Drosophila melanogaster: one gene and its partners. The protein of the gene in region 1 interacts with the protein of each later gene in a pairwise test. Each region holds a gene or a part of one and is shown in the gene's direction. Other genes may lie near its edges.

Region 1 (4,782 bases):
TAGGGTGCTGGTTTGTCTGTTGGTAATGGGTGGCATGTGGCTGGCTGTGGGCCACCTGGTGGTGCTGCTGGTTCGTCTGGTGGTGTGCAGATGGAGGTGCGGATGGCGGAGGGCCATGGCTCTTGTGGGACATGGACGACAACAGAGCCGCAGCCGTCGATGTCGACGTGGAATTGGTGGCTAGTGAAGACGTTACGCTGGTGGTGCTACTGGCCGAAGCGGTGGGGCCACCGCTTGTGCTGCTGGAGCTGCTGCTGTTTGTAAATCTGCTGCCAGTTTCACCGCGCCGCGTGTGGTTAGAGCCGACGACCATTCTGCACGACAGTCTGCAAGGATGAACAGCATTACAAGTATATTCAAAACGATGTGCACACTTTTTCACTCAAATACTAATACGATCTTAGATATACCAATTCCACCAAACCCAATCAACCCGGCAATTGTCAGCTGTTTTGGAATTTGAATCACTGACAGGTATAAGCTCTTTTATTACATCTGGCAACGCCGCTGTTGTCTGCGAACACGACAAAGAGCGAGATGGACATAAGCTTTCAGGACAAGACTAGGACAAAGGCAAACGTCCTGCACCCATACATACACACTCTCTCACAGGATTGGATGACTTGCAATAATCCTCAATCCGCAAACCATATGTTCCGGCATTTTGCCAATATATTCGCTCCGTTGAAAATGGCCCTAATTTAGTTTTTATTCCTACGGCTTCGCGTTTGAAAGAGAGAGAGAGAGACCGAGAAAGAGGGGGCTTGTAACTGATGTCGTCGACAGCCATCCCTCTCGCTCGCACTTATTCCAAGCCCTTTTAGCCCATGCACACACACGTTTAACAAAAATCAATTAACTTGAAAGCACATGTAAAAAAAAGTATTGATCCACAAAAAACAAAAGGCACTTCGGTAATCCTGGAATACACACACTTACTGCCGAAAATATTTAAAATGAATGGGTACGCGTATATATTTATATGCTGGTGAACAAAAGGCGAGCATAACAAAAATGTCTTATCGATTTGCATGCGCAGCAGACAGTAATTGCAAATCTTGTATTTTCTTGAGTCTGTGCAACAACTGAAATACCTTTCTGGGCATAAACTATCATAAACACAAGTGGGTGGTGCTGGGAAACATCGCTGGAATTGAATATTTGTTTGTTGGTCGATTTGTTCTGAATGGAAACGAATGTCGTTTGCAAATTGCTCTCTCAGCTGTTTACAAACGCATACCACATAACGCAGGTGAGAGAGAGAGGGAGGCATATGCGCAGTGAGAATGGAAGATGAAGGGTTGCCAAGTGCGCAAAGGCTTGCAAATTAAGTACACTTGTGTGCGGGGTAACCGAAAAACGGGTGTTTACAATAAATTTCGCTGGGTGGATGTAGCTTTGTAATTTGAGTTCGCCAATTTTTTTTGTTGTTAACAGCATTTCGAAGCGGTTGCCAACCCTAGACGCTGGCTGGTTGCATGGTAACGAAAAATGGCGGCGCCTGTTACACACACTCACACACACATGCACGCACAGTCTGCTGTGTTTATGCACTTCATGCTGTTCCGATTTTTTTTTTGCACTTTTTCGATTTGTTGTCTGCATTTACCTTAAATGAATTTATTAACTAAGGCGATATTGTGCCTCTCGCTCAATCTCGCAAAACGATGCTTTGTCTGCTGCTTCTCTGTGCGTGTGTCCGTCTCTTTCCACGGCTTTTCGTCGAGACTCACATATACAAACGGCGACACACTGGATTGGAGCTGGACTCCGTTTTGGATGGCTTGGCTTTGGCTGCGTACCCAAAATAAATCGCGCTTGCAGTCCCAAATCATTTTAGTTCTTGACGCCTTTGTTCCACAAAAACTTCCAACCGCCGTCCATGGCTCGTGCTTTCTCTTTCGCTCGCGAGACGCTCCAAAAGTCGCGAGTATGGGAAGAGAATGTATCCCTCGCTCTTTCACGCCTAGAAGCGGCTGTAGCACACACAAGCACACGTAAACCCAGCCGTATGCATATACATATATTCCCTCTACTAGCGAGACGTGTGTACGTGCGTATGTATGTATGCTTTTTTCACTTCTTTCTCCTCTGCGTTCTTTGCACCAAGTGTCGCTGTTGCTATTTGCTACCGCCGCTCCTCTTGACGAATAAGTCGGGACTTGTATCAGCTCTAATTCGGACTTAGTTTACAAAATGCGGCTGCTTTTTTTCCGCGATACTCGGATTAGTGATGTAAAAAGACGTTGATGCTTCGACCACTGAAGTCAGTGCGATATGTATCGATAATTGAATGCCATCGATTGCTACGATTAAAACTGCCACCGCAGTTAGCGGAGACGCTCACCATTCTCTATTCGCCATTTGAAAGTATCGGTGTAATTTGTTTTCAGAGAAATTAATTTCCGTTTACTGTGCAATTCGGTGTGAAAGTGTTCAGATTTATCAATGCGTATTCTGCTTTCGACTTCGCCACCAATCTGTGCTGCAAGTTACCATTACCAGGTCCACCTGGTTCCCGCCAGTTTTCTTTCATTGTGGCTAGTTGTTGTTCGTGCCTTCGATAAAGACGTTTAGAGGTGTTTTTAGAGTTTCGCCATCTGGTCACTATAGCCGTTTCGTTTTTTACGTGAGTATTGTGAATTTGGTGTGTTGATTTATATCTCAGTTGGAGCCTGCGTGGAAATAGTGTCAGTACGTTTAAAGGCATCATCGTAAGGTTAGTCGGAAAACAAATAAAAAGCCTACAAATAGCAAGCAAGAACGCTTTCGCAACCACAAGAAAAACGAACATACGCACGCATCCATCTGTGGTAGAGTCGGCTTGTGTGGGGGTGAGTGGATGTGTGGGTGAGCATTTCTGGAAAGTGCCGTTCTCTATGTTTCGATTCTACTTATCCCTTCATCACCATTTCATCGTTGAATCATCACGAAAGAAACATCGAAAGTGCACAATCGTTTGTTATCTTTGTACGAAAACAACGGTGATTTCCACACAGGCATAACCTGCAAGAGTAATACGATACAAATTTTGATCTGATATGACCTCATTTTAGTCGGTTTGAATTTTAAAGAGAGCGACTCTGCAAACTGCAGGGATATGAACATACAAAATTCACAAATGATTGTTTGCATCCTAGTTGCTTATATTCATTTACACGCATGCTTATATGCTTACATCTGTTATCAATAATTGACGACTTGGTGCATGCGAAGCAAACGCATTGAAATGACTATTGGGATCCACACACTGTTAAAAAACACACTGATTGCACTGCCACACATTTCTCAACTAGAACCTAATGTTTTATACTGAACTTAACTGCAGGAAAGCCCAAAATGCCCAGCATCAAGTTGCAATCTTCGGATGAGGAGATCTTTGACACGGATATCCAGATCGCCAAGTGCTCCGGCACTATCAAGACCATGCTGGAGGACTGCGGCATGGAGGACGATGAGAATGCCATTGTGCCGTTGCCCAATGTGAATTCGACGATTCTTCGCAAGGTGCTTACCTGGGCTCACTACCACAAGGACGACCCCCAGCCAACGGAGGATGATGAGAGCAAGGAGAAGCGCACAGACGACATTATCTCATGGGATGCAGATTTCCTAAAAGTCGACCAGGGCACACTGTTTGAGCTGATATTGGCAGCGAACTATCTGGACATTAAGGGCCTTCTGGAGCTCACCTGCAAGACTGTTGCAAACATGATTAAGGGAAAGACTCCCGAGGAAATACGCAAGACCTTCAACATTAAGAAGGACTTTTCGCCCGCCGAGGAGGAGCAGGTGCGCAAGGAGAACGAGTGGTGCGAGGAGAAGTAAAGCGCGGCATTTCGCGGGACCAACATTAAGTTGAAACAGCTAGGGGATTCGGGAACGAATTGGATTTGCAGCATTGCAACTTTACTTAGTTGCTACTTTCATTTACATTTTTTTTTATTTTTAACCCCAGCAGAGACTCGATTTAAATTGTGTATAAATGATCTGTTGCTGATTTGATTCGCGGGGTTCATTTTTTGTCGTAAATATATCTCATATACATACATATGCGAGATTGTAACACTCTCTTTAACCTATTGGAGTAACACTTGATTTCACTTTAATAAATATAACTACCCAACACAAAGACACAGCCTATTTTGTGGGCTTCCCGGAGGGGTTAGGGTCCAAGGACTTCTCAAATTAAGAAGTGCTCTTTATTCGTTATCTTGTGTTTAGAAACGTTTGCAAGCGTTTGAAATGGATACGCATGCCATTTATGGTCCAGTCGGTAAAATTTTACGTGTTCCCAAGAAGGTACATATATATCTTAGATTATCTTATCTATAGAAACTACATTCATAAGATCACGCTTTCGGCGAATAGCGAGTAATACTGTAGCTGCCACTTTGCCACTTAGTGTGCAATTGAAATGCGCGCCAACGCATGTTCTCATATGCGGAGCGTTTAGCAGCCCTTAAAAAGCTTTTCATGTTGCTTTTAAAAAGCTACGACGGGTGTGGAAATTAGATTTGTGACGCTTTATATATCTTTTTTTTATATCGTCTGGGGTACAGCATGGTTTTAGGATTTTAGAAGAAAGCAGTAATTTTGTAAGAATCGAAGAACGGGGGGATATTTATAATTTTCATATTAACCTTGTCTTTGTTTGCTTTTGAAATTATGAATACTTCGAAAGATAATTATCTTGTGCGCATTCCATTCTGGCTTAGACTGGGTTGAGCTAAAAATGATTTGAAATACAAATTTTTAGGTGTCCGCTGATATATAAACAGT
Region 2 (5,584 bases), on another chromosome or scaffold:
ATTGTACGCTTATTTAAACGAATATACCATAAACTGAAATGAGTATATAGACGGCCCTTGTTGTTGGCAAGGTAAAGGCATTAAGTAAGGCACAAGTACTTGAGCCACTGAGATTACTAGGTGTCGCTGCTCGTACGTTTGCCAAGCAACTTCGTAGAGGTTCATTTGGGAATCCTTCTCGCCTTCCTTAGTACAGCATTATGGCGGTCTTGTTTTTATCGTCACATGGCGCCTCCAGGCATTGGCGGTTGCGGAGGCCGAGTCGCTGGGCGTACAACAGGATGGCGATATTCAGCAGCACAACGACGGTGGATACCACGACCAGGTAAAAGCTGTAACCAAGATAAGCCAGTCCATTGCTGTACCAGTGCTGCTGCTGCTGCTCAGTTAAAAGAACGTTGTGTATGAAATATTGGTAGAACTGCACGAGCCAAGCTACAAACGCCACTATTTGCGCCCCCGCGGCGCATATGTTGGAAGTCAGGAGCAGCATCATTGTGCCTCCTTTTTTGGCCGCAGAGGCTGACTTTAGGACAGCGGCGATGGCAGCCACAGCGCAGGCCAGCAGTGCGAAACCGGTGCCCAAGGTAGTAAGTAGCCAGAGCCAGAAGCTAGTGTCGTCATTTTCTGTCCGAACAAAGGTATACACTGAAAATACGGTGTGAAATAACAAAAGTTAAACAGGATTGCTTTAAAAATTTTATATTTTATTTGCATCTCCAAAAGCTGTTAAGCTTCCACGACGTTTTTATTCTATGTTGCATATTTGTGGCTCGCAATATAATACCCTTGCAATTTTAAAAATTGTAAACCCCAAATTTCAACCATATTATATAAAAGCAAGTAAAATATGGTTCCCTATGTCCTCGCTTCTATTATATTTTTTGCGCCAAAAATTTCAATATTTTTCAATTTTGTTAAATAGAATGTAACTTCCCTTTAGCCCTAAAGTTTGTTGTGTCACTTGATTATTAATAAGAAAAACAAAAACAATTTTGGTTTTTACAATTTAATTTTTAAGCATATCCTTAGGATCTGCAAGATAAATAAATGTAATCGAAAAGTATACATAATGGTTAATTTTTGGATATGTCTGCACTGATCATGAGTATTATTCGGGTATTTAATTTTATCAACTCGCCCGATTATGTTTGTGATCTTCACAACTAAACAAATTTAAAAGTAAATCTATTTTTAACAACAGTCTTATCCAGGACAATATCGGTTTTCAACTAATACATGCCCCAATAATCAGCACATTTTCCTAATCGTATATTCATTCAGAAAGCGTCCCAAGAAGTTTAAAGAGGCTAATTCACGATGCAGGTAATGAGAAGATCACTCTCTATCTAGTTTTCCCTGCTATCTAGGCTACTTTGATTGCTCACCATCAACCGAATTTGTGCGGACTCCGAATCCGGGATTCAGGTGGTAGTTGCCGAAGAAGAGTCCGAAGTTGAATTCACCCTTGGCGTCCGACGAGTTCTTGCGGCGTGGAGTGGCCCGCACCCAGTGATTAGTGGTCATGCTGACGAGCAAGAGGCCAATAGCCAGGCAGCTGCCAAAGAAGGTGGAGAACACTAACGCCCGTGTGTGCAAGCTCATCTTGATAATGCTCATGGAAGACCGGTGGCATATGTAGAAGGCTATGCTGTTTTCACCATTAAGAAATGTCTAGGGCCCGACTCCAGCTGCAGCGAAGAAAGTTAGTAGGAAACGTTAGTAAGCGGAGGACGCAATGCCAGTGGCCTTGCAGCGTATTGCTTACCCTTTTATGACTATGTCGGCGGGATCAATTGCAAATATAGTCTTTGTTCGCGGAACAAAAGATTGTTGCACAGGTAAACAATTAATATAAACTGTCTTGCCCTTGTTTTTTTCTCAGAAGAGAAGACTGAGCGGATATTTTTTCTCAAAGAGTACGGTAGCATTAATTTGGGATTTGGTCTGGCAACCACGGCCCGTCTAGTATATTCGATAACGATACAATTCTCATACCAAAATGGCTCGACAACCCTGGTTCCATGCAAAAATAGCGCGAAGTTTTTGTGTTTACGGCGGTGAAAAAATAGATTTCGTGTAAATATGAGCAGTCGCAAGCACAGAGGCTCCGAAAACATGGAAAATTTGTGCCCGGTGACCAGGTGAGTTTTCCTTTGCTTGGGGTGTGGGTTCAAGCAGCAGACCACTGAACTGGTCGCGTGACGTCACACGCGCCACAAGTGTCCAAAAGAGGTCAAGAAAGTAACTTATTGAATTGCAGGGTTCTTGACCCTTTCTTTCATCAGCCATTCTGCTGATGAAGCACGATCGAACTGCACACTTTTAATAAATTTTCGACTATTGCAGAAAGCGCTCGACTAATAAGAACCACGTCTCTGTTGTGGGCGCTCTAGTTTCCACTACGAAGTCATCGCACTACGAGCACCCTTCCTCGCCCTCGGCACTAACTTTTGAGGCCCTAGAAGAGATGGGAATCGGAATGCTTGATTCCGAAGAAAGCAGCTCCTCAGCCCTCTCGGCCATCGCTTTGGCGGTTAGCGCCACCAGCGACGACAACTCAAATGAGACGACCCCGTGCGCCAGTGTGTCGCGCATGGCGCACCAGCTACAGCACACGCAACGGCTAAGTCTGGGCTCTACGGGGGACATCACACTGGATAGCCCAGCTGTGGAGGATTCACTGTCGATGTCCCGTCAATCGGCCGAGAAGCTGCAGATTCTGGCGCAGGCTAAGCGCTCGTCGTTGGGTTCTGAAGGTAGCGGCAATTCAAACTCGCCCAGCAAACGTTTGCGCAACCCCCTGGCTGCAGTCACCTGTAACAACCAGATTGATGGGACTGCTTCGCTCAATTTTCAGCCATCAACCAGCAGGTTGGCGCAAGTTCGCCAGGCAAAAAAGCCCTCGACAACAAATATTACAACCCGAATAGTGGCAGCGGACAGTTTCTTTGTGTTTCGCACCCCGGCCATGAGTGCCCACATCAACAGCGGCATAAACTACTTTGAAAGACTTTCAGACGAAATACTACTTGACATCTTTAAGTGGCTCCCGAAGAAGACGCTGCTGCGCATGGCTACCGTTTGTCGACGCTTTAACCGCTGCTCTCGCGATGAGACTTTGTGGACAAGGCTAGATTTGGGTTTGCGGACAATTAGACCAGGTGCCCTCGAGCAAATTGTACGGCGGGGAGTCCTTGTAATACGTCTGGCCCAGACTAGTGTAAGTTACATCTAACATTATGTTTTCGGGAAACAAGAGCATCTAATCTTTGAACTGTAGATCCAGGAGCCCGCATTTGCACCATATACAGAAGTGTTTAGGACCCGATTACAATATCTTGACCTGAGTATGGCTTCCATCACCCGAAGCTCACTGCTGACACTATTGTCCCACTGCCGCCAGCTAAAGAAAATAAGCTTAGAGAATATTGAGCTCGATGATGACATCTGTGCAGAGATCGCAAAGAATGAAGCTTTGGAGGCGGTCAATCTGACTATGGCTAGTGGCCTGACGTCCAACAGTGTTCGCCTGATGATGGAGTCACTTACCAGCCTAAGCAGCTTAAACATATCGTGGACTGACCTAAGTGCGGATGCTGTTACGGCGTTGGTTACCCACATTTCCCCCAACTTAATTCGGCTCAATATCGCTGGCTGCCGCCGCGTTTTGTTTGACTCGCGTAAGTAGTTCCCACCGTCTTCAATGATATATTTCCTTTTTGATTTGAATTTAATTTGTTTAGATGTTGCAACCCTGCAAAAACGGTGTCCTCAGTTGTTGGAGCTTGATCTATCTGATTGCAATAGTCTAACACCAACAGTCATTACTGCAATTATGAAGTTCAAGATGCTGGAATATTTGTCCGTCTCCCGATGCTATCTTATTCCAGCAACCAAATTTATGTAAGATTTTTCCAGCAAGCGTCTGATTAATCCCTACCCAGTCATTTTCCTTGCAGTGAACTTAAGAGTATGCCCTCGCTAACCTATTTAGACATATTTGGGATGCTGTCGGACACTGCAATGGAAGTCCTTGAGAAACAACTGCCAAAAATGGGTATAAACAAATTCATTCACAGTTCGGTATCCCGCCCGACTGTTGGCACGCGACGCACCTCCATTTGGGGTCTGCGCACGCGCGACTAAGTCTCGACTCTGCTGCTTCCGTTACCATTTGAATTTGTTTTGCTGCGTAAGCCACCCGTAACGCAGTTATTTTATTCTCAATTCAACAACATAAATAATCACATTTAGCTGTTCTTATTTTTGTGCGTTTGGTCACTGATCCGCTTCGCTAAGGGGCTCCACTGGTTTCTCCCATTCCCATTCCTCCCAGTTGACGCAGTTCTTGAGACTATCCATGAATCCTGTTTCGCTGGGGCACTTGATTTCAATGGCTGGTTTGTTAAGTGTCTCACACTTCCAATACGATGTGGCATCCCAATTGTTGCGGAAAACTACAATGTCTAGCTCGGCTTGGGTCTTGCAACCCGGCTGTCCGTCACCATCATAGGCGAGGGCAATGCCAAAAGAAATCACTAGTAGGGAGGTTAGAGCGAGCTGAACCTTCATCTTTCAAAAAATGTTCTATGGTCTACTGGAAGTACTCGAAGCCTTTTATAGTTACATAGTTGCAGCGGTATAGTATCCAAGTGCAGCTACTACCAGAAAATGCTTTTATAAATTGGCATTAATGTAAACACTCGAGAGAGGAAGGAAAAGATAACAGTACTTGCCCTTGACTCCAATCTGTTCAAACTAAAAAAGGTACAATGAGTCACCCAATTTTCCATTTAAAAATTCATTGTTTTTATACTATATTAAATATTTAAGAAAATAAACAAAAAATATGTCTTTTATCAAGGAAAGCATAATCAAGCCAATTCAAAACAAAATCATATAGGGAAACGACAAATATAAATATTTTCGATCTAGTTCGTAATCATAGGTTCAAGAACAAAGTTCGTATTGGACAGCCTGCCAAATTTAAAGATTCAGCAATATAAAAGTAACTAAAGCAAGAGAGAAGGCTATGGTCGAGTTCCTCGACTATCAGATACCCGTCACCCGTGGCAACATGGGTCAACTAACTTGCGCTGGGTATTTGTCTCTAGAATCTGTATGCTTAATCTCAACCTTCTAGCTTTTATAGTTCCTGAGATCTCGACTTTCATACGGACAGACGTACATGGCCAGATCGGCTATTGATCCTGGTCAAGAATATATGTACTTCATATGGTCGGGAACGCTTCCTTCTGCCTGTTTCAACGAATCTAGTATACTCTATTACTCTACGAGTAACGGGTAGAAATATAAAATTGAAACTATTTTGAGTCATCCCTCCAATTGGTAATTTTTTTATATATTAACGGAAATTTAAAGTGCGTTACAAAAGTAAAAATTCTTTTGGTGCTAGTATGCTTAACGGGGTGGACATTTCGGCGTTTTCCACACTTCTTGGGAAATCACTTTAGACAAATTTGTACCAATGTCGGTACTTAATAGTATTTAACTATAACTTACCTTTTGCCTTTGGTGTGAATAGGCTATTAAGCCAAAGAGTAAACATTCGTCGATTGTA
Region 3 (8,395 bases), on another chromosome or scaffold:
TGGAATTAAATATCAATGTCTTTTGATTGGCTCAATGGAAGCTTAATTGGTTATATTTGTCGATTGCAAACAATTCAATAGTATTGCACTTATTTATTTCAAAATATTTGTGAGCAATGAATCTAACCCAATGTTTTAATTGCACATCAACTCGCTGCTAACAATTAACGATTTCGAAATCTATCGAAGCCACTCATCTTTCGCTAGCAATCGAAACAACACACTCTAATTGAATTTGTATGGCTGGGCGATAAGAATCTTGTTTCCAGTTGAAAGAACAGAAACAAGGAACAACAACAACAAAACACAGAGCAACTCGCTGAGCAAACGAAAATCGAACTCAAACCTGGCGATGAACTCACTGCACTATGAATTACGATGATGGAGAATCCAGAGGTGCTAAGTAGTTGGGGCTTAAAACGAGCTTTTAAACCCAAATAATCCAGAGATCCAGAGTGATCTGTAGATACTTAGTTAGAGGTTTCAAAACGCACAGACAATCGGAGAGACAAAGACAGCAGCTGTCTGGTCGTAAACAAATGGCATCCACTGAACGTATCTGCGAGATACAAAATATTGGGGAGAAAACGAAAGCGATTCTCGTAAGTGCAGAACCCCCCAACAACAAAATATTCATTTGTGCGCACTATGTCAGCCGAGTTTACATCATTCTCCAGCATTTCCATCTGCTGTCGTAACTCGAGATACTTTTACGAGGGGAAGGGGAAGGAAGTCCCCCCCCCCCCCATCGCACTACCACCACCACTCGTGAGAATGCACTTGGCTTCGATTGCTTGAAATATGTGAAAAATGTCATAATTTTAATAGATTAAGTGGGCACAATTTAATTGCTTTTGCTGCCTGTTGTTATGTTTGTTTGGCTATTTCGGTCATTTCCCTCCAGAAAAACACAGAAATACCGAATTAATTTCCATCTCAACACACCCACGATCTTAATCCGTTCGGGGCCCCGAGGCGAAAATTAATGGGGCTAACCAAAATTCTATGCTCTGCCAGATCTGGGCAAATATGTCATATATTCGAATGTCTTGTCCGTTGATAATTAGTTCCATAATTAGTGGAAATGCTAATGAAATTGAAATGTTTTGCGAGCAACGCGCCGAAAAGATTTGCCAAGAGTTAGTGGAATCTTAAGGCGAGTGACACGGATCCATAAATCTTGGCCAGTTTATTATATTATATTATTTTTTTTAGCTAACTGCTTCTGGCATTCCTGCTTTATCGTTTATCTTAGTGCTAGATATCTTTTGATGTTTGTCAACTTTTTTTTTTACTGCAAACTGTTCTTGCACTCGAAGTAAACAATTTCCCACGCTCCAACCTGCCACTAACACGATTCCACTGATTTTCATCAACTTTTTCCCGCCGTAGTTTGCCGTTAAACACTTTTTCGTTGCCTTTTGTTTTGATTAGGCTTGGTTTCTTATATGTATATTCTATCGCGTTATCTGTGCACTTTTGCCTGCACCTTTGGCAGTGTGTTGTCACATATTCTATATATTAATCCCAGAGATCGTAGGACGCCGTTGGGAGACCGCAATCGAGAGACTCCGAAAAACACACGCGCTGCGCTCGCGATTCAGTAAAAGCGTCGCAATCGACTGAAATCCAAAGGGGGGCCCGATGCTGAGGCTCCAATAGACGAGCGCTCCGGCTCTCTCGCAGCTGCTCACGGAGAGCGGGGGAGCAAGAGAGCGAAGCGTTTGAGAGCTGGTAAACAAACTGCACTGCGAAAAAATCTTCTTAGATTTATAGATGTATGGATGTATGGATAGGCATAGTATATTCAAAACGATAGCTTAGCTTCGTAATAGGGGCTATATCTAAAGTAATATATATCTAAAGGAATGTTTAAAAAGTATGTATCAGCGGTTACAGCTTGTGAAACCAGTATTATGATTATTGTTGTTTCTGAGTAAACAACTAATAAACTAGTAAACAAGTAGTAAACTAATTTTGAAAAATCGAATTTAAAAAAAATGTATTTTAAATCAGAGTCCATATTGTCGTATTTTATTTTCAGTGCCAAGAGAGCCAGTTAAAAGAGAGAAAGAGCCCCACCACGTAGCTTTTCACTTGGAGTGGCTTTTCATTTTGGCTTGCGGCCTGCGGCTGAGCATTTCGACCGCAAGTGGGAGGCACAGCGAAAGGAAACCAGAGCGGACGAAAATATTGTCGCCCGATTGGAGCTTTCCTTTGGGTGTGTGAACAGTGGGCCAGCTGCCAAGAAAACCAACCCCTTCGTTGCTGACGAATAAACGAAAACGTGAGTCAAAGGCATCCAATATCAAAACATTTCTGAAACTATCTTCAATTGTACAGACAATCCGCAAGATTAAATGTTTCATAAAATGACAGTGAAAATTGGTATAAACAAAATTCCTCTGGGACAGTCATGTTGGAAATGCTTATCACTTAACAGCTGCTTAGGCTTTACAATTGTTTATCGACAAACATAGAAGATAACTAATTATATACTTTCATGACCATGAACACTGTGATATACATTGATACGATCACAGAAAAGGCAGAAATGGGATCTCAAAAACTCTTTAACCTTTCGTCCCACTGTGCGAACCTTTCCCCGTAACCATAAGCGATCATTGCTCTGCAGTTGGAGTGCTCCCCTCGGCGGAAAACGCCATCGACGCTCAATGCCCAGACAGACCTAACCGATCTCGACAGATCATCTCGTCTTTGCTGTTACAGTGCGCACACGCAACACGAACAGAAGACATTGCGTGTCGAGTGGGCGATGAAGTGGGCGCGCACTCACTAATGGCAGCAAAGCAAGATTGATGCAACTGAGTTGCTGGAGAAGATCAAGATGAAGTTGGAGATGAAGCTGAAGCCTCTACTTCCTGTGCGAAGTAAAGCTTCGAGGGCAGAATATTTATGCTGAGATTTTAAGATCTCGAACGAATTTCAGTATTATAGTTATTATTATATTATTGTAATCTAAAAAGTGATCTGAAATATTATTTGTTATTTAACATGATTTTGCAAAAGCTCTATATGAAAGTTTCTTAAGATCTAGAATCCTACAAGCCCAGCCGATAAGCAAATTTTAGCGGGCTCTTAGACCACTGTGCGTAGGTGTAGGGCAAGTCAGCTGGAATTCTTCATAAGTGTTAGTGGCCTGGCCTTTAGTCATTTCTTAAGAATTTCTGGACACACAACTCTCGGCTGCAGATTTCGTTTTGCTTCACTTTTATATTTTTATCAAAAGACATTCCGAAACAGCGAAGAATTGTGTCATAAAGAAAATAAAGTGAGACGACATGTAGACTTTTATTTCGCTGATGGAGACTAAAAGAGCACTGTGGGGCAGCGAAGAAAGCAAATACAGCCCGGCTGATTAAGCTGCCTCTCTCAGACCAGATCATTCACATGAGTACAAGGGTTTCGAACTTGGGGCTGCAAGAAACCACACCCTCCTTGCTTTCTAGAATTGTAAATGATTTCACACTGGAAGTGCTGAGCGCGATGCTTTTATGTTCGATTCAAGGAATTAGGATTATTCATAAAAGTGCAAGGAATGCGCGAATCGGACCACAGCTATCGCAATAGCCACTTCCCGAATTAAAAGCTCATTCATTTACTTGTGCACTTTGCACATATGTATGTATGTACATAAGTATGTATGTATGTACATATGTATGTATGGACCCATGTACATATGAACGGGTTCAAAGATAAGACGAGCACTTGAAATTCATCATCAAGAATTTTAAAGCACGTAACACAACCATTTTTAATCGTGATTAATGATTGTATGCTTACGATAAGAATTTCGAAAAACAGTAAATATTGAGTTTCAAGAAATATTCAATAATAAATATTTTTGTATATTGGGAAATATATTAAACAAATAACACATCTTGTTCGGTCAATGACTGAAGATCACTCAAAACTTTTTTACATAATAACAATTTCTTAAAACAGAAGTGAATAACAGATTAATAACTAAAAAGATACACAGAACACACGTTGCCATTCAACACGTGAGGTACGTTTTAGCCACTCTTCACTGTAAACGAAAATTATTCAAGCGTGAGATTTTCGACTTCCTGTGTCGCCACCTGGCGGCCAACGGCAGAATCCTCAGCTACATGTTAATTAACTCCAATTAGCGACTGACCTTGAAGTCGCAGAATTATCTTTGCGGCTTTTGCCTACGTCACACGGTTTATGCTGTGGAATGCTCCGCTTGAGGAAGTCGCTTTTCCCCGAGGAAAAGTGGACCACCACTTACTTACCCAAATCGTCCATGGCGATGGTGTTGTTGTTTTTCCGCCCTGTGTGCGTTAGTGTGCGTGTAGTTTTCCGCTCTTGTCCAATTGGAATGCTCAGTTTTCTGGATTTATTTGGCACAAGCACACGCGTTTTTTAATTGATGCTGATTGAAAGCGAAGAGCGACAAGTCCACGCAAACACTTTATTTTCCTGTTCACCCGCAACTGAAAAGCGCGGAGTTGGCCGGAGACTAATTTTAAGCTGTTGCCAGCGACCGAATGGCGAGTATCGGTGGATTTCGCCGCGAGTTGGAGACGAGTTTTATATATGAATCACTTTAATTTTGGAGCGGCGGCGGTCATAAACAATACAAAAAAAAAAACATTGAATCACGTACACGAACGCAGGAACACACACAAGCACAAGCGCACGCTCGCTCAACTGGAGAGAGCGAACAGCTGATTAGCTATCGATAGCAGTTGGAACTATCGCACCGACCGAGGAAGAAATCAAGTGGTAAACTTAACTAAAATACTTATCAACTTACCGCTGTCGATAATACCAACCAACGGTTTAAAACTAACTGTTGGAAAGTTGGTAGGTGTTCCAACTGGAATTCTCGTCAGTGAGCGGCATTCAAATCGTATACAAATCATATTACCTTGTGTTCTGTGAAATATAAACATTCACTCACAGCTGTTCCCATGAAAAAGTACGAAAAGAACAGAATAATTTCAACGCTACAGTGTTTCTATGTTAAAATATTGGGGATGAGAAATTATTACATGTGTAAAGGGTTTAATAACTATTTGCATTAGTACTGTTACACTCAGAATTTAAACTTTATATATAATAATATATTGGCTTTATCATCTAAGATGATAAATATATAACGTTTATACCACTTTAAAATCAACCGAAAATATCGCATATCAAAGGTACTCACTTCTCTCTGTCTATAAAGTGTCTTTTATCTGTGGTAAACAATGATTAGTTAACAATCTGCAATATATCTCACATTTTCAGTCTGTGTAGAGATTAGGCCGATCCAGACGTTAATGAGAAATGGAAAAGCGAAGTGGAACGCCGATAAATAGCCAAAAGTTTCGAAAACTCAGCGATGTGGACATGACGGAAGTGCAGCTGAACAATTTGGATGACTCCAGTGCCAAGGAGACGGTGGAAATAGGTAGCTTTCAGGGCAATGACCAGAGCAATCCCGTGCAGCACACGAAATGGTTCAGATCCAGGCTCTTCCTCATATCCGTGGTTTTCTCGGCCCTCCTGATAACCGCCATGTGCATTGGCTTCGTTGTGCACTACGGCATGTCCGGCGATGTGGGCGACATGGAGACGGTGAGCTACTGGCCCGTAGATCTGCCCAAGGAGCAAAAGGAGTGGTACGATCAGGGAATCGATGAGCTTCAGAAGGCCGTTTCCAGGCAGTTCAATCGCCGGCGAGCCAAGAACGTAATCCTGTTCGTGGGCGATGGAATGGGTCCGAACACGGTGACGGCCGCACGGATACTCGGAGTCAAGGAGGAGGGACTCCTGCGTTGGGAGCAGTTTCCGGACATGGGACTGCTGAAGACCTACTGTGCCGACAAGCAAGTACCGGACTCGTTCTCCACGGCCACAGCTCTCTTTGGCGGAGTAAAGGTAAACTACGAAACGGGAGGAGTTGATGCAAATGTACCGCTGGGGAACTGCAGCGCATCCCTGAAGGAGGACCACCACGTTCAGACGATCCTCAAGTGGGCCCAGGTGGATGGAATGCGAACGGGTTTCGTGACCACCACCCGGGTGACGCATGCCACTCCGGCTGCCCTCTACGCCCACGTGCCGGATCGTCGATGGGAGTGTGAGAGCGGAATGCCAGCCGAGGCTCAGGGTCAGGGATGTATGGACATAGCTCGCCAGCTGATCGAACAGCCGACGGGTCAGAGCATAAACGTAATCATGGGCGGTGGTCGTCAGATGCTGGTCTCAGATGTAACCGGTTCAGCAGCCGATCCCCTGGACACTTGGGCCGGCCAGTCGAAGGATGGACGAGATCTCATCCGAGATTGGAGGCTAAAGAAAGCGGATGAGGGAGTGTCACATGCGGTTGTGCAAAACAATCGTGAGCTGTGGAATCTCAATGGTCAGGATGTTGACTACGTACTTGGTATTTTCGCCAATGGACACCTAATGTACGACCACGAACGAGATCGCAGTGACGCCGGCATGCCCTCGCTGTCCAATATGACCCTCAAGGCGCTGGAGGTCCTGGGAAACAGTGATAAGGGGTTTCTGCTCGTGGTGGAAGCCGGTCTAATCGACCAAGCCCATCACAGGGGAAACGCTCGAAAGGCGCTAAGTGAGGTGCTCGAACTGAACGCAGCCGTTGAGTCTACACTTTCCTTCCTCAAGTCATCGGATCGCCTGGACGAAACCTTGGTCATTGTGACCGCCGATCACTCGCACAGCCTGACCATCAATGGGCATCCCGATCGGGGATCCAGTATACTCGGCTTGGCGGGAAACTCGAAGACAGAAGGGACGCCGTACACCACGTTAACCTATGGCACCAGCTATCAGGGATTCCAGGTGGATCCGCAAACGCAGAGCCGCAAGGATCCAACTGCTGACGATATTACCGCCTGGGAGTACACCCAGCAGGCAGCAATCAACACGGACGAGAATCTGCACGGTGGCTCGGATGTAACGATTCACGCGGATGGTGCCATGTCCTACTTGTTCCACGGCGTCCACGAGCAGAGCTATGTGGCGCACGCCATATCGTACGCCCTGAGGATCGGAAGATTCCGGGATAGCTCCATCGCGGAAACTCTGGCCGAGCTGACGCCCATATAAGCGTAGAAACAAAAGCGTAGCCAACAAAACACTTTGATATATGTAGTTATAATGAAAACTGTTCTTGCCAAGCTTACAAATTAGATATAAGTCAAAGATTGGGTCACCGAAATAGGACATGAGTTAACTGAAACCATTGAAGGATTTTACCGAATGAGATTGTTGAATAAACATTAATTTGAAGAGAAAACATTCAACATTTACTTTGCCATCTTTGTTCTTTATCTTTATTACAATCCCATTATGTTGACAACCAATAATATTATTACCCTAGAAGCTAACTAAATCTGATGTTTAAGGCTAGTGCCTGCACAAATAAATGTGATTACTACTATTCATTAAAGGTTGCGGTTTTTTTTTTAGTGCAAAATGGACTTACTGCAACTGAACGACGATTGTTTGGATATTATATTTGGTTATTTGAGTTTGGAGGACCTAGCGCCGCTCTACAATGAAATTCCCTGTTTTGGAGGCGCCATCGAGAGACAGCTGCATCGATTCAGGGACTTGAGGTTCAGCATGAGAGAGCCGCCTGCTCTCCACGAAGATTTGCTCATTAAGTTGGGTGGCCAACTGAACAGCCTGCACATCAACGTGGGCTACTCCACCAAGGACCAGGACGTACTCCGGTACCTGAGGCCACTGTGCCAAGGGGCCGCCGAGAGCCGCAGGATTCGGGCTCTGAAGTTGGACCATGCCAAGTGGTCGGCGGAGATAGTGGGCACTGTGGGCCAGGTGGTTCCATCGCTGCTATTTCTGGACATGCGTCACTGCGATGTGCGAGACTACCAGATAGCACAGCTCTTGCAATCGGCAGATAAGCTAAAGGCACTCGCTCTACTCCACATTGACAATCAGACGGGTGATTCCTATCTGCAGCCGCAACTACTCAACAGATTGCCATCGCTGAAGCTCATTCACCTAACCACCTTGGGTTCCATGGGCTTTAACCCCGAAAACCTGACACGGCTGTGCCCGAACCTGAGCTTCCTCGTCAGTGACCTAATCAAGGGAGATTTTAAGATATATGGCCCGCCTGCCTACATACAGAACTACTACAAGTGCTATAATGAGTACTTCAAGACCGCCTGAGTACATGTGGCACAGTTTGCAGAGATCTCAGTGGAATTGGATTCTATATTTGATATGAACTCACTCTTTTTGTAAATATTTTTGTCTTTTACTATGCAAGAGATTGCAATTGCATTTAAAATACACACTCAAACAAATGTACAACCGAAAAGCTCTTCTTTTCGACAGAATTCAATTTCTCGTTTGCACT

Evidence for each region.
Region 2: the proteins of SkpA (region 1) and Skp2 interact in a two-hybrid assay, tested with the Drosophila melanogaster proteins (2 studies listed by BioGRID).
Region 3: the proteins of SkpA (region 1) and CG13085 interact in a two-hybrid assay, tested with the Drosophila melanogaster proteins (2 studies listed by BioGRID).

What each region holds. Positions count from the first base shown.
Region 1 is NC_004354.4:653,771-658,552, forward strand, and holds SkpA (SKP1-related A), read left to right. Parts: upstream 1-2,343; 5' UTR 2,344-3,014; exon of another isoform or gene 3,015-3,328; 5' UTR 3,329-3,339; coding exon 3,340-3,828; 3' UTR 3,829-4,129; downstream 4,130-4,782. Other genes in the region: Hmt4-20 (histone methyltransferase 4-20), read right to left, coding at 1-313.
Region 2 is NT_033777.3:4,334,108-4,339,691, reverse strand, and holds Skp2 (S-phase kinase-associated protein 2), read left to right. Parts: upstream 1-2,017; 5' UTR 2,018-2,085; coding exon 2,086-2,144; intron 2,145-2,349; coding exon 2,350-3,223; intron 3,224-3,283; coding exon 3,284-3,683; intron 3,684-3,746; coding exon 3,747-3,906; intron 3,907-3,962; coding exon 3,963-4,149; 3' UTR 4,150-4,281; coding exon of another isoform or gene 4,282-4,575; 3' UTR 4,576-4,813; downstream 4,814-5,584. Other genes in the region: CG1103 (uncharacterized protein), read right to left, coding at 188-648, 1,389-1,620; CG14645 (uncharacterized protein), read right to left, coding at 4,282-4,575.
Region 3 is NT_033779.5:19,421,926-19,430,320, forward strand, and holds CG13085 (uncharacterized protein), read left to right. Parts: upstream 1-2,124; 5' UTR 2,125-2,287; intron 2,288-2,343; exon of another isoform or gene 2,344-2,884; intron 2,885-4,280; coding exon of another isoform or gene 4,281-4,293; exon of another isoform or gene 4,294-4,969; intron 4,970-5,161; exon of another isoform or gene 5,162-5,195; intron 5,196-5,283; exon of another isoform or gene 5,284-5,322; coding exon of another isoform or gene 5,323-7,113; exon of another isoform or gene 7,114-7,299; intron 7,300-7,476; 5' UTR 7,477-7,482; coding exon 7,483-8,205; 3' UTR 8,206-8,345; downstream 8,346-8,395. Other genes in the region: Alp12 (alkaline phosphatase 12), read left to right, coding at 5,323-7,113.